Linked DNA regions of Oryzias latipes. The protein of the gene in region 2 purifies or fractionates together with the protein of the main gene of each other region. This does not show direct contact. Links are inferred from orthologs where the notes say so. Each region holds a gene or a part of one and is shown on either strand. Other genes may lie near its edges.

What was found.
Region 1: the proteins of pex5 (region 2) and pecr purify together in Homo sapiens (affinity purification with mass spectrometry; 3 studies listed by BioGRID, with this or other methods). This does not show direct contact. The link is inferred for Oryzias latipes from reciprocal best matches to the Homo sapiens genes PEX5 and PECR.
Region 3: the proteins of pex5 (region 2) and acox1 purify together in Homo sapiens (affinity purification with mass spectrometry; 3 studies listed by BioGRID, with this or other methods). This does not show direct contact. The link is inferred for Oryzias latipes from reciprocal best matches to the Homo sapiens genes PEX5 and ACOX1.

What each region holds. Positions count from the first base shown.
Region 1 is NC_019875.2:17,248,377-17,256,492, reverse strand, and holds pecr (peroxisomal trans-2-enoyl-CoA reductase), read left to right. Parts: upstream 1-3,403; 5' UTR 3,404-3,431; coding exon 3,432-3,543; intron 3,544-3,870; coding exon 3,871-4,004; intron 4,005-4,096; coding exon 4,097-4,262; intron 4,263-4,332; coding exon 4,333-4,414; intron 4,415-4,491; coding exon 4,492-4,588; intron 4,589-4,670; coding exon 4,671-4,781; intron 4,782-5,943; coding exon 5,944-6,055; intron 6,056-6,126; coding exon 6,127-6,209; 3' UTR 6,210-6,720; downstream 6,721-8,116. Other genes in the region: dnai2 (dynein intermediate chain 2, axonemal), read left to right, coding at 1,586-1,721, 1,799-1,945, 2,140-2,361, 2,446-2,478; ndufb3 (NADH dehydrogenase [ubiquinone] 1 beta subcomplex subunit 3), read left to right, coding at 8,020-8,116. UniProt on the Homo sapiens protein: Participates in chain elongation of fatty acids. Catalyzes the reduction of trans-2-enoyl-CoAs of varying chain lengths from 6:1 to 16:1, having maximum activity with 10:1 CoA. Has no 2,4-dienoyl-CoA reductase activity.
Region 2 is NC_019874.2:20,498,847-20,506,994, forward strand, and holds the start of pex5 (peroxisomal biogenesis factor 5), read left to right. Parts: upstream 1-3,754; 5' UTR 3,755-3,950; intron 3,951-5,833; 5' UTR 5,834-5,876; coding exon 5,877-5,990; intron 5,991-6,107; coding exon 6,108-6,146; intron 6,147-6,308; coding exon 6,309-6,426; intron 6,427-6,531; coding exon 6,532-6,678; intron 6,679-7,403; coding exon 7,404-7,488; intron 7,489-7,952; coding exon 7,953-8,043; intron 8,044-8,148. Other genes in the region: clstn3 (calsyntenin-3), read left to right, coding at 88-272, 359-508.
Region 3 is NC_019859.2:3,127,017-3,134,404, reverse strand, and holds part of acox1 (peroxisomal acyl-coenzyme A oxidase 1), read left to right. Parts: coding exon 1-7; intron 8-2,007; coding exon 2,008-2,115; intron 2,116-2,436; coding exon 2,437-2,556; intron 2,557-2,632; coding exon 2,633-2,748; intron 2,749-5,059; coding exon 5,060-5,229; intron 5,230-5,694; coding exon 5,695-5,857; intron 5,858-6,846; coding exon 6,847-7,037; intron 7,038-7,388. UniProt on the Homo sapiens protein: Involved in the initial and rate-limiting step of peroxisomal beta-oxidation of straight-chain saturated and unsaturated very-long-chain fatty acids.

The sequences.
Region 1 (8,116 bases), on a different chromosome or scaffold from region 2:
TGTTAATATTTATTTCAGGACTCGTTTTGTTTCCGTAGAAAACCGTCTCTGGTATATTACTTTTGCACTGTTCATTTCTCTTTTCTGCTCTGATCATCTTCCTTTCATCTGGTATTTTACATTTAGATAAATCTTCATTTCATTGACATTGACAGGCCTGCAATGGATCAATGTGCCAGTCAGGGAGGAAGAGAAGGAGAGATCCCGGATAGATTTTGGTGCTCTAGAAGTCTAGAAGCAATTATGCTACTATGCATTCAGCATGCAGTCCACTTTCTCTCCAAACTGTGACAGCCGTCATCAGACCTGTCACCAGAGGGAAGTCTGTTCCCGTCATACGGTGAGAAAGAAGTGGCCTAGGCACTGCAGGCAAGTGTGTTTATAGACATGATGAGATAAGATTAATGGACTAGGACTTTGTCTTTAAAAGATTCCTGAATGAAACAAACAAATCTTAGAATAAGAGGGTTCATGATGTGAGGTTAAAATGAATAAAAGATGACACAAGAAGACTTATGAGCACCTAACAGGCTGACGGTAATGAAACAATAGATTCAGCTGATAACAATAAAAGATTAATCTTCAGGAACTTCATGAATCTTGAGGAACTATTTGTGGCAGAAAACCGCCATTTACATTTTGTTTGAGTGAGTTTAGGATTAAGAAATGACTTGGATCTGCAAAAAATAACTTTGGAGCATCTCTTTTCATCCTTCTTTTAAATGTTGGTATTTTAATGAACCATAAGAAATATCCAGAGAATGCAGTAAAATGATAGTTTTCTTAAAATACTTTATTCAAGCAGCAAACATCGTAATACGTTGCTGAACAGGCAGCCGGAAAATACCATGACAGCAGAATGTGTTAGTGTAGCTTTTTAGGGAATTTTAAAATAAAGGGAAGAAGAAATTGGAAGTAAGAAGATGTTTTAACAACAGCGACAAACAAAAAAGGTGTATAAAAAATGAATATAATTACTGTTATAATTTTTAACATCAAGACTTTATGAAAACAGCTGCACATGTGATGATAACTGTTGTTTTTTATTGCTTATTATAGTCCAAGAAAATTTTAAATTTTAAATATTTATAAAAGTTGAAGTGATCACTTTGCTTTCAGTCGGTCACATTACAGAATGTTTTGTTTATTTTCTGTGATTTTTTTCCCCCACTAATTGACAAAAAATATCTGAATTTCTTCTTCTGAAATGCAACAAAGCACTGAATCTTTTTCTTAGGATGGACCAGTTAGGATAAAGTTTTAGCAAGATGCAGGTATGAATAGATACATTTGTATTAAAGGTGTGTTTTTAATCAATTTAGGCTTAAAACCAATGAGATAGTTGTTTCAAATACAATTGAATGGATTGGTCAATGATAAAATTCAACTTTAAAAGTCTCTACTGTTAATTTTTCACTTTATCTTTTCTTTTTTGTGTTGTTTTGGAATGCCGTTTCCTCTCCTGAATCTTTTCTCCGTGCTCTAATCCACTTTGTCTTGCATGTCGTCACAGTTCTCAAACTTTCTGGTCTTCCCTGTGTCAACCCTGCATTCAGGTTTCTCCCTATGTTGTGTTGCCTTCCAGGAATGGGGTGTCAGAGTTGATGGACGCTTGCTGGAGCCCAGTCAGACCTTCTGTTTTCTTCACTGTAAAAATGAACGGTGTGCTGGACATCTGGGACATCCTGTTCAATCAGAGCGACCCCACTTTGAGCGTCAAGGTTCTGATCTCACCTGTGAAGATGAGTTTAAGTCATCCTGTTGGTCCACTGAGTCAGGTGTGTGTTGTCATCTTCAGGTGTGTGACGGTGGACTGTACAGCATCCGTGTTGAGGAGAATGGACGCCTGGTGGCATGCGGATCTGAGAAGGGAGAGGCAACGCTGCTGGAGATTAGTTCTGGATTGTCGGTCCCGCAAAAAAATGAAAAAAGTCTGGTTGCTGCTGTAAGAAACCTGTCAGACAGATTTTTTAATGTCTACCTCTGGAGGAGTAATTTTTTTAAAAAGTGTTTTTTAAGTATCTCTAAATTCATATTTGAATGTATTATGTTGATATATTAGTCCAGGACAAATATGGTTCCTCAAAATAGAAAAACAGGCTTTCCATGTGCTCACATGTATACTGTTGCCGCCTGCAGATGTTTGAACGTGAGACGAAGCGAGAGAAAATCCTGATGGGCCGACAGAGAGAGATCCGTTTGAAGGAGAGGTGTCGGTCGGAGCAGAGCAGAGAAGAAGAGGTTGTGCGGGAGGATGGAGAGGAGAGCCCTCAAGAGCTCCTCGCTCGTGCTGAGAAAGATTTCTACAGCATGGTGGAGGTCGAGCTTAAAAGGAGGAGGAAAGGCAAAGATTTGATACAGGTGTGAAAAGGAAGGATATGTGGTCACAACACTCTGGTCACTAAATGATGTGGTTTTTTGATCCTGTGCTTTTTTTCTCTTCAGGAACAAGTTGTCTGTGAGGACAAACAAACATGATTACAAAGAAACTGCCGACGTTTCAAATAAACTTTAAAGCTGAATAAACTGACTTTTGTTTAGTTTAGGACACCCTTTTTTGAGTTAAAATTTGTTTAGAATTTCAGTACTGTGTTGTCTGATTGGTTGGCATCTATAAGGATTTTAAATATTTAAATTCTTTATTGTCTTAGAAAGTACGAAAGAGGATAGTTAAAAGAAAAAAGGGAGCAATGGGAAATTCTGACTTTAATCTAAGTCAGAATTCTGAGGTTCTGACTTTTATGGTTTTTACATTGATATTTTTTCTCTCATTTATATTTACAATATTGTGTAATAATGGTAAAAACAGCTAAAGAGAAAAAACTATTCCGTTTATGTGAAGGATATGATTAGTTTGAGATACTGTATCGCTAACACTCATGAGATTTTATTGTGTAAATTTTGCCATTTTCCTAAAAACACAAGATTTTCATTTTTTCGTACCAAAAATACTTTTAATATCAAACACATTAGTTAATTTGGGACAAGTCCTGTTTAATGTAAAAACCCTTTTTTTTTTCAAGCAAAAAAGTAATAGTTCGCTGTTAAGCAAGGTTTTATTTTTAACAACAAATCACAGCAAACCATAAAAAAGAAAGAAGAAATACAATGACTTTTTTTAAAATCATAAACATAAATGCAAAATTGTAAATTGAATTAATAAATAAATCCAACTTATAGGCCTATTTATTACTGTTGTGTTCTTCTCTGTTCACCTGTCTCTTGATTATTTTATTTTCTGCTTACCTACCCCCTGTTCCGGTCTTTATTTATTTGTTTTTATAAAACACTCAAATACAAAAAATTAATAGATCTCAAACAACAAAAACAGCACAACTCAAAAATAAGTTGAAATTTCGAATCCTCGAAAGTTACGCGCCTTGCGTGATGACGTCACACTCACGTCGACATAGCAAGGTTCATAAACAAACATGGCGGCGGTGAGCGTTTTCAAACCGGGTTTGTTCAACCAAAAAGTCGCCGTGGTGACAGGTGGAGGGACCGGCATCGGCAAAGCCATCTCTACGGAGCTGCTGGAGCTCGGTAAGCTTCGCTGGGCTCTAAATGCTCACGGGGTTTCTCCCCCTGCACGCGGACCGAAGCCCTGAACTTTGACACACACTGGTGAACAGCAAGGTGTTTTTATGTGGGCGGTGCTAACTTTGCCCACACTAGCTTAAATCCAGTGGTTTGTCATTAAAATTAGCGTCTGTCCTTTAACTCTCTGTGGGATTCTTGCCAACTAAACAGCAGGTGCCACCAATACAAAAGTAGGAGCATTACAGTTTGGAGAATATTATCCAATCACACATGAGGTTTTAAAAAAAAGAAAGTTGAAGTTCATTGATGCTGAAGTGCTGCTGACTTCAGGCTGCAGTGTGGTGATCTCTAGCAGAAATGCAGAGAGGCTGCAGAAAGTAGCCAAAGAGATGAGACAGAAGATCCCAGCCTCCAGTCCTGCCAGTGTGACTCCTGTGCCTTGTAACATCCGCAATGAGGAGGAGGCAAGTCCCCGTTCATTCTCTGGATCTGCTGTTTCAGAACAATTTATTTTTTCTCCTTGTTTATTGTTTGCATTGTTTTGTGCGTGTGGCAGGTGAATAATCTCGTCTCATCGGTGCTAAGACAGTATGGTCGTATTGACTACTTGGTGAACAATGGCGGGGGTCAGTTCAGCAGCCCAGTAGAGAACATGACCTCCAAAGGCTGGAAGGCTGTGATCGACACAAACCTGACAGGAACTTTCCACTGCTGCAAGGAAGGTAAGCTCTGCACACACAAGTCCGACAGTGTGTTTACAGCTCTCTGTAATCTATATTCTCCTATGACCAGTCTACACAGCATATATGAAGAAGCATGGGGGCGTCATAGTGAATATCATTGCCGACATGTGGAAGGGCTTCCCTGGCATGGCGTAAGAACCACTGGGAACACACGTTTTGTACACAATGCCCCTTTGAGCTGCGTCATGGTGTTCCCTCCTGCTGACAGACACACAGGCGCAGCAAGGGCGGCAGTGGACAACCTAACCAAAAGCCTGGCCATCGAGTGGGCATCTTCAGGAGTCCGAGTTAATGCTGTAGCACCTGTATGTACACGTCAGACAGATTCCTTTTCAGAGTTTTTGACCTGTATGATTTGATTTATTTAATTTATTTTTATTTTTATAGGGTACAATCTTTTCCAAAACTGCGATGGAGAACTACAAGGAACTCGGACCGCATCTTTTTAAGACGTCTGTGCCATTCTCCCCTGCAAAGAGACTGGGAGTGCCTGAGGAGGTGTGGGGCAAATCCATTACACCCTCCATTATTTTAAAAAAAAAATGTTTCCTGCACAATTTTGTTAACTTTGAATTTAAAACAAGATTACATAGAATATGTATTTTACATTAGATTGGAAAATATTTGATATTTTCAAAAAAGAAAAAACAGAAATAAAAGAAAAGGGTAAAAGAGAATTCCATTAGGAACAGACAGGAAGAAGATGACTGCTTTTTGTTGGCTCCTTCACTTCACAATAATCTAAATACAAAATAGTTAACTATAGCAGTCATATTTTTCTTTTACAGATTAATTAACATAGTTCTTCATCTTAAGAACACAGAGACGCCATCCAGGTTGTATCGTCGACCGTTGCTGACAATGGACTCAAAAACTGCGCCAAAGAATTGCCTCACCACTAAATAAGGCTCTCCCTTTGAATCTAGATGTGATCCTATAGATGAGGCTGAACCCTTTCGTAAGTTTCTGCCAATTAGTGTGACTCTGTTAGTGTGTTACCATAGCAACAGAAGTAATTAAAAGACTAAAAGTGTTCCTAATTGGCCTTCGCCGCATTCATTTGACTTCACAGTAAATAAAGGGAAGGGAAGCAACTCAACTTGCTTCAATAACTTTAACTTCTCTTTTTAAATCTTTTTTAGAGGCTGTTCCCCTGTGAGTAAAAAAAATATGCTGCGCATGCTTTGTGAATTTTAAGCCTGAAGAACACTCGTACAATTTTCTTTAAAATTTGACTTTGATTTTGTTTTTTGGTAATTTTGGCCAACTGGAATTGACAGCGGCCAAAAAAATTAACAATAAAAGAAATGAAAACAAATATTTTAAAAGTAGAGAAAAATTGACTCAGTTGTTTCTTCTGGGTTAAAATTGGTCAATCTCTTCAATATGTGTAGTCTTTAAATCACTAATAAGAAAATGCATTACTCCAACTATTTACTGCTAGTTTTGACTGAACACTTTTTTTTCTTCTTCAAACTAAGCTTAGCTGCAGTTTTTTTTAAAAATCATCCTGGTTGTCTCAACGCTCCTCTTGAGCAAAGCCCAGGTGATGCTTTTCCTTTTGCCTAAATTGTGTTTACCTGGATTAAAGGAAATGGAAACATTCACAACAATCATGATAAACCTCGCTATCTTTGTTTTTGTTGTCTTTTTGTTTCAGATCTCCTCAGTTGTGTGCTTTCTGCTCTCCCCTGCTGCCTCCTTCATCTCTGGAGCCACATTAAAGGTTGATGCAGGACAAAGTCTGTACCGAACCATGTGGGAGATACCTGGTATGTAAGACATCTATTTTCATTTAGCCATGGTTGTCACACATTGGTGTTAACTTTTTTTGTGTGTTTAGATCACCAGGCATGGCCTGAAGCTCCAGAGGGTGAAAACTTGGTTGCTTTAAAGGAGCTGCTGGAGCCGCAAAGCAAACTTTAATCGTCTTGTTTGACAAGTGGACTCCACAAAAGTCTCCACGGTTAACAACACAGATTCTGCTTTTAAAGTCCACAGTATAAAGTATAATCCTGGCTGTAATATAAAAAATGTAAATAATCCTAGTCAAATAAATCTTTTTTGAAAAACAATATATTTTGCTTTACCAGATAGGTTGTTTGGATTGATATAAGAGAAATGTTAATATTACACAAATAGAAAAAAATGACCTTTGGTAATACACCAGTGTTGTCTTTTTTCATCATAAGCACTTTGTGTTGAAGCTCATTAGAATAATGTTAAAAATACAGCATTGTTGCGCTTTGTTAGACACAATGCCTTTTTGTTTTTTTAATTTGATATTTTTTAATCACCTAAAAATGTACTAATTATGAACTATAGCACTTTGCTGAAATTGTAACATGTAAAATAGCTGTTTAATTGTAATAGAGGTGAGTACTGTTGATGTGATGATGTTACAGATCCAGTGAGTAAAAATATAATTATAGCCTTACTCAAGAATGTTGGATGGATGGATGCATGGATGGACGTAAAAACCTCAATGTCTTCATCAGATAGAAAACCCTTTAATAATAGGCTTTGCAGCAGCCCAAATTATGTAAATATTAAACTCCAGGGGGCGCGCAGAAAATTGAGCGTCTCCTTTTACAAGGATCTGACCCTAACACGACACCGTACTTTTGCTGCAAATCAGCTGGAATTGTCGCAGTGATACAGAGGTCACAACAAACCTCTCGGGTACGTGTTTGTTCATTAATGCCTAAATTCTACTCATTTGTGTACCGCTTTTATAACAGGTAACGATAAATAAGCTAAAATGAGATTATGAAAGAAGAAAAAACAAGTCATGGTTTGTATTTACGATTAGCTTGTTGAAAAACGATTAGCTAGTAAGTAACCTAACCTCCCAATGACTTCTTTCAATCACTTGACAAACATTGAGGTAAAAAGAACGAGTTTCATTACATGAAGCTTATATGTAACTTAATTAAACTTTATTGACGTATCTTACACCATACGCGCGCCTTTGATGACTAAACTGATAATCATATGAATAATAGTTTCGGGCTAATAACACTCGGCGGAAATCCGTAAGTAATTGTATTTACATTTTACAGCTTCTGTTAGCGTAGAAAGTAAATAAACATGTTACAGTGTTTATTTTCATTTTTAAATATCGCTAACAAACGTTAGAATTTAGCCTTTTTGTCTTTCACGCTGACTAAACAGCTTCAAAATGTATATAAAATATATAAAATTTCCAGCATAAATTAAATTTCCTGCCATTTAACAACCTGGATCGTAGATTAGTCATTAGTAGAAGTGTCAAAAGGATTTGAGTTTTGGATACATTTTAATGAGTATAAATACCGTCTGACTTCATTTTTAAAGCACAGAAAATTCGGCCGATCTCTTTTCCATTTTCTTTCTGAATATATTTTGCCAAAATCAGTTTCTTTTTCTTTTTCTTTCTGTGGAGAGCTGTGCCTTGTGTCAGAGTAGTGAGTAGTTGTTTCTGTGAGATTTTGTAATTATTATATTTCAATTAAATAAAAAAACAACTTTAAAATGGGTTAAATTTTTCAATGAAACTGTGTGCCAGTTGGCTAGTCGGCTTTTAAAAGTGGATGCAGTATTTGTTGGTTTCGAAATGTTTTGTTTCTTTAATAAACTCAGACGACATTGATTTAAGTAAAGACATTGAAAGTAAAATGTTTTTATTATTGATCAACAACGGCAAATGTGTTAAAAAGTTGACTGTAAAATGACTAATAATGTTTAGGTGTCCAATATGGGAGGAGACCACGGCCACAGCAAGCTGTCCATGCCAGACTGGAGACAGTGGGAAACAAAAGGAACACCGCTGGAGTTCACCCAACAGAGGCTGG
Region 2 (8,148 bases):
AATTATGGTTAAACTGTGTTTTCCTTTATGTTTTGTCCATTTTGTATACATATATTTTAAATTAAATTTTTTTGTGCACTATTATAGTGGTACCAGGAGCAGCCACTGTCATCATTATGGTGTGTGTGGGTTTTCTGGTTGTCATGGTGATCCTGGGTGTCTTCCGAATCCGTTCCATTCATCGCCGAGGTGAAAGTACAAGAGGCGGAGCCAAAGAGGGCAGCGGTCAATGGGACGACTCTGCCCTGACCATCATTGTCAACCCAATGGAGGTTATAACAGTACTTTTACGCAGATGTGATCAGAGTAAAATGTTTTTTCGATGTTTTTTTAACTACACTTTCTTGTGTTCTCATAGTCTTATGAATCTCGTATGGGCATCTCTGCCGACACGGAGGGTGAGGGGGAGGAGGATGAAGAGGCAGTGGAGACGCCTGACGACGCCAGCGATGATCAGCGAATCATCATCAAGAAGGAGGGTAGAGACGGCAGCGCCCGTCGCTACTGAGCCACGTGCATCTCTGCGCCAGTTCTCATGGAAACCACAAATCAGCTCACCAGTCACACACTTCAACACTTTTAGTGTCAACAACTGCTGACACCCGTGATCAAAGGAATGTATGCTTACAAACACTACGCACAACACAGTCACTGTAATACACCCCACACTCATTGCCATATGTGACCTGTAGCCAACAACAAGCTGTTGTTGTCCACCTAAATGTTCAACGGCACAATGTAAACAACTAATGTAAATGAAGAGCTTGATGAAACCCCACCAAACTTGTTTGTGATGCACCAATTCTGAATCACAAGATGCTCGTGTGTCTGTATAGTGTCATTTTGGTTGAAAAGGACTGAAATAAAACATCTAGTCTAATATTTGTTATTAAAAACCAATGAAACTTTTTCCAAATATAAGCTAGAACAATTTGCAACAGGAAGGCATTGAGTTGTGGATGACGACACATGCGTCTCTCTGAACTTTTTGTAAAACTGCATTGGGAAGTCTGTGCACAAGCTCGTATTTTTCTTTGCGACCTCCTCCGACACATTCCTTTACCCTCAAAGAGTGAAGACATCAAGTTCAGAAGTAACAGCCACAAAAACCTTAAATCTGGCGTACCTGTAGGTGTTCTTCCCTCTATTGTGAGATTAGTTTACTTCTTCAGATTCAAGCTACGTTGTATCTGAGTCTCCTGACAATACTGAAACGCTTTCTTGCACAACCCTCACTCAAGCTGGCACTTTTTCAACACTCATAGAATACAAAATGAAACTTCTTTGTTCAATTCTGAGCATTTACAAAGTTGCATTTTCTACAATGAATTGAGTTAAAACTGCAGCAGCTATCATGCAGATAGACTCTCTCCACAACACTGCTCTACATGGAAACACACACTCCATAACATTACCCCTCGCTGTTTTCAGAATGTCCGCTCAGCTTGGGCAGTTTTGATTGTATTGATTGTAATGAACTTTCTGTATATACAATGAAGACTACTATGATGTTATTGATATTACTATTATATTTTGCATCCACTCTTTTACTGCACATTTTTGAGAGGGAGCAGATTATAATTTAACATTTTTCCACATGAGGAATCACTTTTCAACTCAAAGAAGTAATATAATAATGATAAATAGTAGTAGTGATAAGGATGATATTCCCATGGCTTGATGAGTGTCTCCTAATTTGTGTGTAATAATGTTGTAATTTATGAACCTGTCAATATCTGAGTCACAAAAAAGGAGAGCACATTGTTGTAAGACTTTCACTCATTTCAAGGGTTTTTTCCCCCATTTTTTTGTTTTATTTGTTGACCATATTTTATGTTGTTTTCATTACTTCTAGTAATTTTGGTTTAATAAATGTACAACTGTGTGCTTGTCATTTTTACCTTCCCATCACGCTCCACTCGCCTTTTCCCTTCACCTCTCCATCACTCTCCCTCTGTGTCTCTTGCTGTCTGTGTATCCTATCAATGTGCAGTGCTAAGGTTGTCAGTAAATAAAGCCTCTTGTTTTTGAGTGTGATGTTAAAGAGCCAATAAACATTGCATTAATAAATAACTTATATTAATACTATGTTACGGTTTGGAGATTTACCTGTGATTATCGATACACTGACAATGTGGATTAAGCTGACTAATTGTTACTGAGAAGTGTCAGAAAACATTACAAAATTCATAATAAAAGCCACTATATGACGTCTCCATGAGAAAAGTTTCCTTGCTAGTGTGTGCATTCACTGAAACTGCCACCCAACAAAATCCCAGTATCCATATTAAACTTATTTTCCTGTTAACACACTAACACAATCACTTTCACTTTAACCCTTGTGCTATCTTAGATGACCCCACCCTTACATTGACATGTTCTCCCTACCATGATAAAGGTGGAAAGATTTCATGTAATTCATGGACACCAGTGAGGTTCACAAATCATTGAAGAAAAAAGGTTCAGCGCACTCTCTAGTGGGTCTAGATGACCCAACACCCAATGTTAAAGTGCCTAGGATAGCACAAAGGTTACATCACCTAAAGCAGCAGACAGTATGTCTTATTATATATTATATTACAGTCTTTTACTAGGCCTGCACAATGAATCGCAAATTTATTGTTATTGCAAGATCAAGCTGTGCAATATGCATATTGCAAAAGTCCGCGAAAATTGCAATAAATGGTTACCTTATCTTATGCCAGCGTGAAGTATTTAATGAATCAAATAAATCTCTTTATGGATTTGACCAACCGGATGGACGTCTTCATGTTGTGGTCCAATCGGATGGAGCCCTTTTATGTTAGATGTTCGCCTCCTATGTAGACGAGGGTCATTTGGAGTATAATTTTTAAACTGTTCCAGTGAAATGGGATAGATGTTTTTGGTTGTTTTGCTATTTGTTCATGTACCGCAAGTAATATCGTCATCACAATATTGATCACTAATACTGGATATTGCAAGTTTTTCTGATATGCAGCCCCATGTTTTACCTATTAGATTGTAGATGAGTCGTATGCATTTTGAATTGATATCTCTGTTTTCTAAAAGGTAGCAGTTTTACTTTTATATTGACTGTGAACATTTAAAGTATTTTTAAACATAGTTTGATTTAATTTAATGAGGTTTTCTATGATTTCAATCCATGCATTCATATAAGGCTAAACAATTTTAAAGGAGAACTAGTGTATGGAAAAATGGCCTTGGCTTCTACTGATATCTAATTATATAAAACACAGCCTTCAGCAAACATGACTGAATTCTCCAGCCTACAGGAGCAGAAAATAACAGAACAGTTTGTTCTGCTTAAGTTAATGTATATCACATTGCAATGTTTTTATTTTTGTGGGAGGACTAAAGAGTATCAGTCTGGTAAGATTCACTGGCTTCTAAGAATGGTAATATTATAATTAATAACAATAACAGCTAATGGTGTACCTACCAATGTTGGCAGAGAATAACCTCTTCTGATTAGAAATAAAAGTTTTAAAAAAATCATTTGGGTACACAAATGATGTCTGCAAAACTTCAAGTGAGCCAAACACAAGATGTATTTTACTGTTTACTATTGGCATGAGAAAATTAGAAAATTTGGTTAAATGAAAATAACCTTGGCATGTGAAATTTAATTAAACAATTATCAGTGGCCATTGTATAATTTATTCTATTTTATTTTAATCAATGTAACATAGCTTCTCTCTCTCTCTCTCTCTTCCTACGTAACGTCGTTAAAGAATATACGTAACCTACGTAACGTAACGTACGGCAGATCTCAAAGGAGTCTGTGGATGGTTCTGTGGGTCATGGAGGTGGAAGATAAACATTAGGAGCATAAAGCGGCTGCGGTTCGAACGGTGCTAGATTCAGACACGGCCCTCGGAGCAGAAGCTAGAGAGGACACCCGGGCCACAGAGGAGCGACTGCGGCAGCAGCAGCAGTAGCTGTCGGCGGTGAGATGAACAACAACAACCACCATGCTTATTCAATTCGGACTCACTGTGCCGTACAAGAATGATCTTTGTACCATGTAACCTGCTCGTTAGCTAACTCTAGCCATGCTTATGTTAGAGTCGAACTCTTTAGGTATTAATATGTTTTCTTTCTGTCTAATATTGGGGTTTTTAATGGGTTGAGGTTGACTACACAAAGACGAAACACATCCTGACACATGTAGCTAATTTTACCGTTTGGGACTGAGGCTACAGTTAGCTTAGGTTAGTGCAGAACCTCTGTACACTCTGATGCCAATATTTGTAGTTACTCCCAACTATGTGTGCACATTTAAAAGATACATTAAGATTGCCTTGATTAAAACATTTACGTTGCTCTTCCAAATACCTGAAGTGTGACGTAGACGTGTGTCTAACTAAGGCAGCATGTGTTGTCTGTGACAATATTTTATTAATATCTTTGTTAATCCTCTTACTACTTCGATCCTAATCATTATGCAGCGGTCAGAGGTGTGACTCACTAGGATGCTTATGCCAACACTAAAAACGATGAGATTTATTTTGGGGAGATGACAGTTGGACAGAAAAAAAGATTGCAATTCTCTTATGTATGTATGTATACTTTACGTGATTAGTTGTTTTTTATTTTATTTAGTTGATGCAAGCTTGTATTCCTTGTTTTTTATTTTTTACTGTTATTATTTTCATAATTAGATCCTTGTGTGTATGTTTACATCGTGACTGATCTATCTATTCTAGAGGCGATTGTAACATTTTTACACGAGTCTGTCCCCACACAGCTCAGACCTTCAGACCTGAGGCTTTAAGACCTCACAGCAGTCTGAATGCACTCATCCATACAGAATAAAAGCTTTTCTTCATTGTGAACACTGTAACCCAGGGAAAGCACAAATTGCCCCAAATCAATTTTGATTCACTATGTAAATGTGTGGTAAACATCCCCGTGCGCTGCAAGGCTTACAATCCGTGTCCTCATTATTAACAGTTCACTAAAAGCCATTAACTGGCATGAAAATGCGACAGATGGAGTTTTAAATTTGTTGACAAGGCATGGGGCTTTTTGTGCAATGTTTAAACCCTCAGGCTTTCTCTTCATCTGGCTCGTCAGCTGTTAAATGATTCGTTTTCTGGACCTTTTATGTGGAGCTAAAATGTAAAAAGAAAGAGCAATATTGCATGTTTGTGATTGTATTCGTAAGATGGCAGCAACTGGCAGGTTTAATTTATAATAAAACACTTGACAGAAACCAGGAAGTGATTCAAGATAATACTTTGAAGCTCAGATTTTAAAGAATATTAATAATGCTGCATTTCCTCTCAGATATCTTACTATGTTTGGTGACAAAATACACATTTGATTTTTTTTGTTCAGATTTCAGATACGAATAGTTTGGGATACAATATGTCATAGCTCTAAATATTTGGATTTGGATTTGGAAATGGTTTATTTCAAGCAATCAGAGCAAAAAGAATGCAAAAACAAGACGAACAACAGAAATGTAAATCTATACAAAGATATTTCAAACATAGGATAGTTATTCATTCAAATATGATTACGTTCACGGACACTAATAAATAATTTAATTCTTAATCTTAATCATAAATAAATATATTTGTGAAAAAGTGTCTTGGTAAGTTTTTGGCAGTATTTAGAGTTTCAGTTTGCCAATAAAAGTTGTTTCCAGTCCTTTTCATTTTTTGGTCAAAGTCTAAGTTAAAGTAATCAGTCATTTTTAATTCATTTTATTGTCATTTGCACAACAGTCCTTTGTTCATAAATCTATTTAATCTGTTGCTTTCATTTTTTGTTGTGAAACAGAAATGCATGTATTTCGCAATCCTTATTTATTTATTTTTTTTAGCTTTTACGTACTCTAGTGGGGTTTGCCTCTTCCTTCCGTTGCCATGGCGATGCGAGAATTGGTGGAGGCCGAATGTGGTGGAGCCAATCCCCTCATGAAGTTGGCCAGTCACATGACCAAAGAAGAGGGGACATGGCAGCACCGCACCAGCCCTGCAGTGAGTAATGTTGGGCATTACTAACTAATGTAACATTAGCTGTTTTTTTTATTCCATTACAGCAGAATAAAATGCATTTAATGAACCGGTTCTGTTTTCTTTACCGCTTTTTCTCAGATTCCACCAACTCCTATTGAAATTGCAACCGAACAAGAGGTCTGTTTAGTTTTCTGTCCCTTTATACTAAAATATCCTTTTAAATATTTGAAATATTCACCTCAAGTTTTTAGAATTGTTATATTTTATGCATGAAAGCTATCTTTCAAATACTTACAGCTGTGAAATGTTTTTTCTTTTTTTTTTTGGTTTTTGCTCCAGTTGGTGAATGAGTTCCTTCAGGCCCCGCCACGCCCCCCCACCACATTTGACATGGGTCAGCTATTAGAGGAAATGCAGCAGATCGATCAGCAAAGCTACAGACAAGCTCCACAGAGAGGTGCACATCATTCTTCCAATTTATTCATACATTTTATACAATTTTTCTCTCTGCCATGTGATCTCAGCACATTTCAGAAAATGATATCCTCACTTCTTGTTTTAGCTCCTGATGTGGCCGCACTGGCCCTCTCTGGTGATTGGGCTGCCGAGTTCCTCTCCAGTTCGGATTCTGCCACCACACCGGGTCTCACCTCTCTTGGTGATTCAGCAGATTCTGATTGGACCAGAGAATTTATTGCTGAGGCTGCAGGTAACTGGAGTTTCTTCCGGTCTATGATTTACTGCAGTTGTCTCACTGATTTAGCGGATCTAACTGTTATCACATTTTAATGTTTATAAGCTACAATATGTACATTACAAATGTCTTTAAAGTCCCCCTCCATTAAAAATCATGTTGTTGTTTTTTTATGTATATCTGACATTTTTCTTATGAAAGAGAACAAATGTAATAAAAAATAATTTCTTTTTTTCATTTCTGAGTATTTCTCCTTTTAAATCAGTGGCAATTAAACTGACGCAAAGACGCGCTGTTTATATGAATGAGGCGTTGTGATGTCACAATGGCCTAGTAGTGCAAGCGCATTGCAGAAGCTCCCTGATCTGCCCCGCCAGGCGTGCACAAGCTCAGGTGCGTGAGAAGAGAAGATGGTGCATTGCTGCATTGCCTGCACATATTTTAAGTGCATCCAAGGCTGGATTTTGTTTTTGACCACATGTATGAAAAAAATCAAAGTGGCCGAACCGCGTTTGGCCCCTTGATCAAAGGTGGGGCTACTCAGCTCAGCACCAACAGCCACACCCATGTAGAGGAGATTTTGGAAACGGAGGCTTCAGATAAACATGAAATATGCCTTTTTACAACATTTAGGTTGTGGGATTTTGATTCAAAACTTCAGAATTATAATCAAAACACAACATTTTTTTAATTGTCATAGGGGGACTTTAATTTATTCTGTTTAATGTATTCCTCTCCAGACCCTGGACGCTGGGCAGAGGAGTATCTAGAGCAGTCTGAGGAGAAACTGTGGCTCGGAGACCTTGGAGACAAGGAAAGTGAATGGTGAGAGGTGGGCCATGCAAAGCGTGTGGATAATAAAGTGTTTGCAGGAAAAAGTCCTTCAGGCAAGCATCAGTGAGTGCGCAGTGGCAGCCTGACACCCCTACAGGAACAAAAGAGGAAAAGCTCCAAGGGAGACAAACGATAACAGATCTGAATGCAGATTTAAACCTTGAACGCTTTCTTAAGCGAATGTGTCGTTTTATGTCCACCCATTTACTTTTATCCTCTTCTAACTTTATGCATTGAGGCTAATTGTACCCAGAGCTGTCCATGCATACATATAGGGCCGTCTGAATTCTAAAGCTAATGTATAGAATATCGGCCTTGGCTTCTACTGACGTCTATTGAAAGCACAGCCTTCAGCAAACCTGAGTATTATCTCCAACCTACATAAAGAGAAAATAACAGAACAGTTGCTCTGCTTCTATTACAATCTTGTGGTATATTTTGTATTTGTCTGGCAGGACTAAAGAGTATCAGTCAGGAGAAGAGCTGAGGCAGACGGCAAATGAACTTGTTGCAAAGGTCGATGACCCCAAGTTAAAAAACACAGAGGTGAGTGCTGTCCTGCTCTGTCATGAATCAGTCATGTATTTTTTCCCTTCATATCTGTCGCCTTATTGTTTCTTGTTCTTTAGTATTAAGTGTTGGCTTTATAAC
Region 3 (7,388 bases), on a different chromosome or scaffold from region 2:
GGCCACGGTAAAACCCGCAGTCCGAATCCCGTCTGCTCCCACACTCGCCATGTTAGGCAGTCATGAGTCGCTCTTTGGATGATCTCTAAGTGACGCATTCCATTTTTCTGCCACTATGTCAGCCCACCACAGTGTAAAAAGACATTTCTGAGAAACATTTTGAACTGTAGTTAGTTATTGCGGGACTCTTGACTTTAAAAATGTAAAGTTTTCTATTATAGCTACAGCTACATTGGTGGTACTAACCAATCAAAGCCTGGTGCCATTTTTCTCTACCTCCATCCATCAAGATGGACATGGAATTTAACTGATGTGTCGTTCTTTTAGATGTAAAACGTTTTTTTAATGAATTCTTTTTACAAATAAATCTAGATCTTTTTAACCCATAGTAGTCCAGGGCCTTTTTGCACTTCATTTCTACTTATATTACAATTTATCTTTTAAACCGTTTTTTTGTGGCAGTGCTTGCTATCCAATCTTTTTTAATACAACCCCAGCTTTTTTTTTTCTTTTTCTTTTTTTACAAATATATTTTTGATTTTCGTTACAGAAGGAAACAGTCAGAAAACTCAATTCCAGGTGGTAAATTGAGATCAAACAGTTTTTTATGTTTTTATAAGAAAAGATCAAACACGTAGAGACAAAATAAAGATTTATAATCCACATAATAAAGCAGACATGAAAAAATGGGGGAAAAAGGCAAAAAATAGCCGGAAGAAGCAACATTAAACTCCATACAAACCTCCATGGATTTATTCCATGATGTGTCATAACTCCCATGTTTGTTTATAACCAGGTATTTTATAGCTAAAATCTTAGTTAGTCATTTTGAATGAACACTTTGCTGATGGGAAGGTCGGTTTGATTCCCATTCAACAGCCGATGTGACTGGAAAACTCCCAGGTGAGTTCAGGGGTTAAAGTTGTAACAAACAGAAATCTATCGAAACCTAATTATACCGTAGTTTTCAAATGAGAAAATGTTCTGCAAGTCTTTAGGTTTTTTTGCCAATTTAACCTCATTTAGCATCTTTATTAAAGAATAGAGTGGCAGGAACCATCAAAGAAACCTGAAGTTTGTGTTTTTCCATGGTTTAACGTCAAAAAGCTTAAAAGACTTATGAACATGAGATTTTTCTGTCACCGCTTTTAGCCAAACCTGGAACAGTTTCCAGCTTTAGAAATTAGAAATTAGCCCACATCAGACCCCCCCCCCCCCCCCCCCCCCCCCTTTAGAAAGACTAACCTGCTGCTCTGTCGTCAGTCCCACTGAGTAACCGTGTTTTCCATTTTCTTAAGCCGGTTTGGGATGCTGATGCATGCTGGGAATGCACGTTCTTGTCCTGTTGAAGGTCGCTTTACATCTGTCAAACAGCTATAAGATTTACTGCAACTGAACTCACCTTTATATGTAAAGTAAAATAAGATTTTAGACTCAGGGGCTCCACATGTTTGTTTGTTTTTTCTATTGATATAACTCTTTCTGGCATTTTAAAACTGCATATTTATATACTACGTACATTTTGCGCTTTTTCCACGTATGAAATGTTGGTCTTTTCTGATTCATGCATGATCTACGTAATTCGGAAGTGTTTTCTTGCGTCATTCATCGATGTCCGCAGACGTCCGTCGAGGGTCTTAGCCGACGTGAATTCAAAATTTTGGGTCGGTTGAGAATTATGCTGTCTACGCATATTTCTGTGCTATTTATACTTATTATTACGTAAATCTTACGCAATTGTGCGTAATTTATTTATTTATTTTTTTCCATGTATGGTTTATTCATCACTTATTTACTTCTTCCTTGGTTTAACGTTATTCATTTGTCATAAATTTTCACGTAAAACCACAACTTTTTAACTTTTTCCAAACAAATTCACGTATGACCAATAAGCGCATAATGTACGTAGTGGCTGTGTGACACGACTTATGGAAGTTGTAGTCATGTGTCACGCCGTGTGCTGTGCACACACGTCTGGCCCATCTTTCATGTGTGGTGTGAATCCAGGAACGCATCTGAGAGGGTTGGAGACCACGGCCACCTACGACCCGGCCACTCAGGAGTTTGTCCTGAACAGTCCCACCGTCAGCTCCATCAAGTGGTGGCCTGGAGGACGTAAGTGTCTCCAGTCTCGTTCAGAGGTTCTTCTGTGTTTTTTATCGTCTGAAACCGACCGCAGCAGGCGGATGCTGCGACTGAATGTGGTTCTGCTGAAGGTTTCCTCCTGTTCCTGCAACTTTTCCTAAAAGGACACTCAGCACACCAGAAAACACCAAAAATACTTGACCTTAGGTTATACTAATATTCAAAAGATGGACTATTTATTAAAAAAAGAAAGCATTTAAATTCGGGACGAGGATGTGCTTTATAACTGAACTGAATTCAATCTTTTTTTTTCAAACAGAAACTGTAACTGTCCCTCCTTTTTCGTTTTAGTTGGAAAGTCTGCGAACTATGCTATAGTTTTAGCTCAGCTTTACAGCCTTGGGAATTGCCACGGTCTGCACGCCTTCATCGTACCTGTCCGGGACATGGACACACACATCCCGCTGCCAGGTAACCTGCTGCCATCTGTACGTTCTGCGCGTCTGTCGCATGTTTTCCTGAGCCCAAAGGTTTGTCTTTGCTGCAGGCGTCGTAGTTGGCGACATCGGACCGAAGTTCGGCTTCAATGAAGTCGACAACGGTTTCCTGAAACTGGAGAACGTGAGGATTCCACGGGAGAACATGCTGATGAAATACTCAAAGGTGAAGTTTCGAAGGACTGCGTTTGAACCAGTAGATGTTCAGAGCTTTGCTTAGACCAGGGGTGAGCAAACTACGGCCCACCATATGCAGCCGAGTAAACTGTTTAATCTGGCCCACCAAGCTGGAATAAATGATATTGATTATCCTTTATAATGGTTTATTTTCCCTGTAATGTGGTGTGTCCTCATAGATGGGCACTACAAATAAATTGACCTTTAAGTAAAGAAAGTTATTCTGCTTTCATATAATGTCAGAAGAATTGTTTTTCTGACGTCCATGCGTGTTTTCTAAATCATTTTTGTAATTATTCCTTTACCACATAAGCACAGCATTTCTCTAGATTAACATTTTTCCCCTGACAGACATCAACCAATTGGTGCAATTGGCCCTGAAATATGAACAAAGGCCACAGTTTTGAAATTAAAACTCAAGTGTTCTGTTTTTAAAGATATATGTCCATTTTCATTTAAAATTAAAGCAGAATCTTTCAAATTCCATGTTATTTCTTCAAAAAAAAATAAAAGTCCCGCTGTCTGTCACAAAATTTGTTCTCCGCACTTGACCCATTCAGGGAACCATTTGGTGGTTCAACCCAATCCAGCCCCTTAATGCTGAGTGTCCCATTTTTAAAGTCTTTGGTATGACCTGGCCCGGGTTTGAACTCATGACCTTCCAGTCTCAGGGCGGACACTCTAACCACAAGGCCCCTGAGCTGGCCACTTTCAAAGCCACTCTCTCTTATCAGGTGGATTAGCAAAACATGCCATGCTCCTGGTCTGGCCCTTCTGTCAAATTTTAGAATCCTTTGTGGCTTTGGATGGGCTGTTTGCCCACCCCTGCAACTGCAGCTTATTTTGTGTTGCCTGTCTGTGACGCTCCCAAAAGTAGCAGCCCTTTAGTTTATTATGCAGATACCATCTTTAAAACAAGAAAACAGTATTTTTCTGAAACAAAGAGGCGCACATGGAGGAGCAAACTTTAACATCCAACTTTCTGAAATGACTGAAAACCTTCTTTTTTTTTTTCAATTTAGCCTCAACTGTTCAATTCAATTCAGTGTTATTTCTATAGCCCAATATTTACAACAATAGTCGTCTCAATGGGCTTCATACCGGTAATTGTGTAATAAACATGAATCATAAAGAACATAAAATCATAGATTTCAATAGGTGACTAAACAGACTAAACTAAACCTTTAGGCCATCCTTCGCTGTAAGGAAAAACTCTTAAAAAACCCGGATTCCAGAAAAAAAACCCAGAAGAAACCTCAGGGTTGCCCAAACTGTTGGACTGCTGGTTTCACTGCAAGACGCTCTGGTTCTGCTAAACTCCACAAACTGATGGGAAGAGCTATCACCGATACGCTGCCTGCTTTTTGGAGAAAAATGATTTGTTTATGCAAATCTACCGTCAATCCATCACTTTATTTGTAGACCACCTGTAGAACACAAGGTGCCCCAAATAAAAGACGTACACAGAGGTTAACTAACTGACTTCTTAGGTTCTTCTGTTATCAGACACGGTTGTGTCGTTCGCATACCTGACATGTTTTGACGGACGTCTTCGTCGAAATGAGGGGCACCTGCCTGCTTTCTGACACCTGGAGTAACATCCTCCAGCAGCAAACTTTGACAGGTGACTCCGCCCCAGTCACAATCGTCTGTTTTTATCAGTACCGTCTGATGACGACTCTGACGAACACGTCCGTCCAAACATGGAAGGGGTGTGAAAAACACCGCCGTGTCCGATAACAGAGGAACCAAAAAAGTCAGTCATCAATATAGACACTATGAACTTTATTGAGGTTAAATAAATAAAAAGTTTGAAAACACAGTAGAATAAAAACAGCAACAATCAAAAGATAAAATGTAGGAAATGCGGTGGCTAATAGTTTGAGACATTTTACAAAAAAAGAGGCAGCCTTTGTCGTTCTTCCTCACTTTTACTCTGTGTGATTATGAACAGAATTCCTTTTCCCTGTTTTCCTGTGGATAACATGTTCTGATCGTCAGGTGAACTGACTTTAGCAGATGTCTTTGGTGTGTGCTACATGTAAATAATATTTATTTGTGTAAAGTTAATAAGTAGTTCAGAGACTGCCGGCGTAAAAATTCCCTCCCTGCTTACCTACCTGAAGTTTAAAGGATTGAAAAGATTAAAATGTATGTTTTTGTTCCTTTTTTTAACTGAGATTAAAACTAAGATTTCTTTTTCCATGTTACAATAAAACATGTTTCAAGGTTGATTAAAGAATTAGATTCAATTTCATGAGTCTGAAGCATTTAAGGTGATTCTGTTTTATGTCCACTAGGTGGAGCCAGACGGCACCTATGTGAAGCCTCCCAGTGACAAGCTGACCTACGGCACCATGGTGTTTGTCCGCTCCATGATCGTTAGGGAATCGTCCAAAGCCCTGGCCAAGTCCTGCACCATCGCCATCCGTTACAGCGCCGTCCGCCACCAGTCGGAAATCCGCCGGGGGTGAGTCACGCATTACAGCGCCGAACAGTCGACCTATATGTAGACGGACCTGAAATCGGAGGGAGGCTTCTGCTATCAGGTTCAGTAACAGCGTGGGAATTTGACTCGTGGGTTGTGATGCTCCATAATAAAATAGTTCAGGCTTTTATTTTGAAATGAGATGGAGAAGACGCTCAAATAAAACAAAAAATATGTTCTTGGACATGATTTTTTTGGGTTATGTAGGAATTTACATCAACTTTACAAGGAATATAAAAAAATCATTCAAATTAAACAGGTTATGGCCACCAAAAGATCAATTACATTTCAGTTAACAGGTTTAAGGTGGATTTTGATTATCATTTCCCAAACATGTTTTCTGTTTGTTTGCTTCTGCCAAAAGAAAAAGTTTTCATTTATGGTGGAACTTTAAAAAAAAGAATATTACTTTATTATTACTTCCAACACGTTTTTTCTTTTTTCCAGAGAGCCAGAGCCTCAGATTCTGGACTACCAGACGCAGCAGTACAAGCTGTTCCCTCTGCTGGCCATGTCCTACGCCTTCTCCTTCGTCGGACAGTACATGACAAACACCTACCAGCGCATCAACGCAGAGATCAACCGGGGGAATTTTACTGAGCTGCCAGAGGTACAAAGCAGAAATTACATTTACAGTTAAATCAATGGATTGATTTCATGATTTATTACAACAAAACTGTCGGTTTAGACTTGAAATCTTAAAAGACAACATTTTATTAAATTTCCAACTTTTTTTAGACTGAATATCTATATGCATGTATTTCTTTTATGTACCGGTAACTGTATTAGTCACATAGCCGAGCAAAGAGGATTACAGTCACTACAAAAAAAAAGATATGTTAGATAGGAAATTCTGATTTCTTTTATTTATTTAAAGATTTAGTTTTTTTCTTTTTAGGATCCCGGTGTTGCTTCTGAACCTGATCCTCAAGTTCCGACATCAATTCCAGAATCCAAACTATCCAAACTACTCTCAGAATTTAAAAAGCTCCACTTTGATCTCAGAATCCCATTTTTAAATCTAAAATTGATCCACTAATCCAGACAATAATTCTGGAATCCTGACATTGATCTCAGATTCTCAAATTGGGTCTTAAAATCCAGACTTTGATTTAAAAAAACAAAACAAAAAAAAAACAGTTTGAAAGTTTGACTTGATCTAAGAGACTTGAGTTCTATCTCAGAATCTCAACTGTGACTCTGAATCTGATCCACAAATCCCAACCTTGATCTCAGAGTCTCAACTTTATCCTTAAAGCTCAGCTTTAATCTTAAAAGCTTTTTTACTTGAATTTCTAACTTTTCAAAATTAAGAGAATAAATGATCTGAAAGGAAAGTCAGAATTCTTTTTAAATAGATGAGTGTGAACTTATCATAGAATCTTTTGAAAAGGCCTTTTGACTTCAGCCATCGTTAACATCGCAAAATGCAGAAACTTCCTTATAATTTTTATTTTTACATTGATGTTAGCTGGTCAGAAATAATAGTAAATGCAGTTTTTGACCAATGAACTGTGAAGTCACATCCATTTTGGTATAGTAAATACAGTTTAAGGCTTTTGAAAAACGTATATATTTTTTTTCCCCTCCACCCTACAGCTGCATGCGCTGTCTGCGGGTCTGAAGGCCTTCACCACGTGGGAAACCAACTCTGCCATTGAAGTGTGTCGCATGTCATGCGGCGGCCACGGTTACTCCAGGAGCAGCGCGTTGCCAGACATTTACACAGAGTTTACCCCGACCTGCACCTACGAGGGGGAGAACACCGTCATGATGCTGCAGACTGCCAGGTAAACGTGCAGCTCGAGTGTTAAGTCACCACGCCACATGCTTTATCATTTTTATGTAGGAAAAAAAACCTCATTGGAGCTGGATGAGGTAAACATTTGTCCTTCATCCACCCACTGAGGGCTGCTATAATCACTGGAGACACATCCTCACTCCTCCCACAGTAAAAACAAACACTGTGATGACATCCGTGCTCAGCGATTTAACCACAAACAGTTCACGTGATGACTTCCTGTTTGAATAGTCAACGTTCCAAACATAGATCTGGAAATTTTATAGATGTCATTTTTGTACAGAACTGCAGAAATCCACTTTTCTTTTTCTAGTAAACATTTTGTGTTTGTATTTAAACT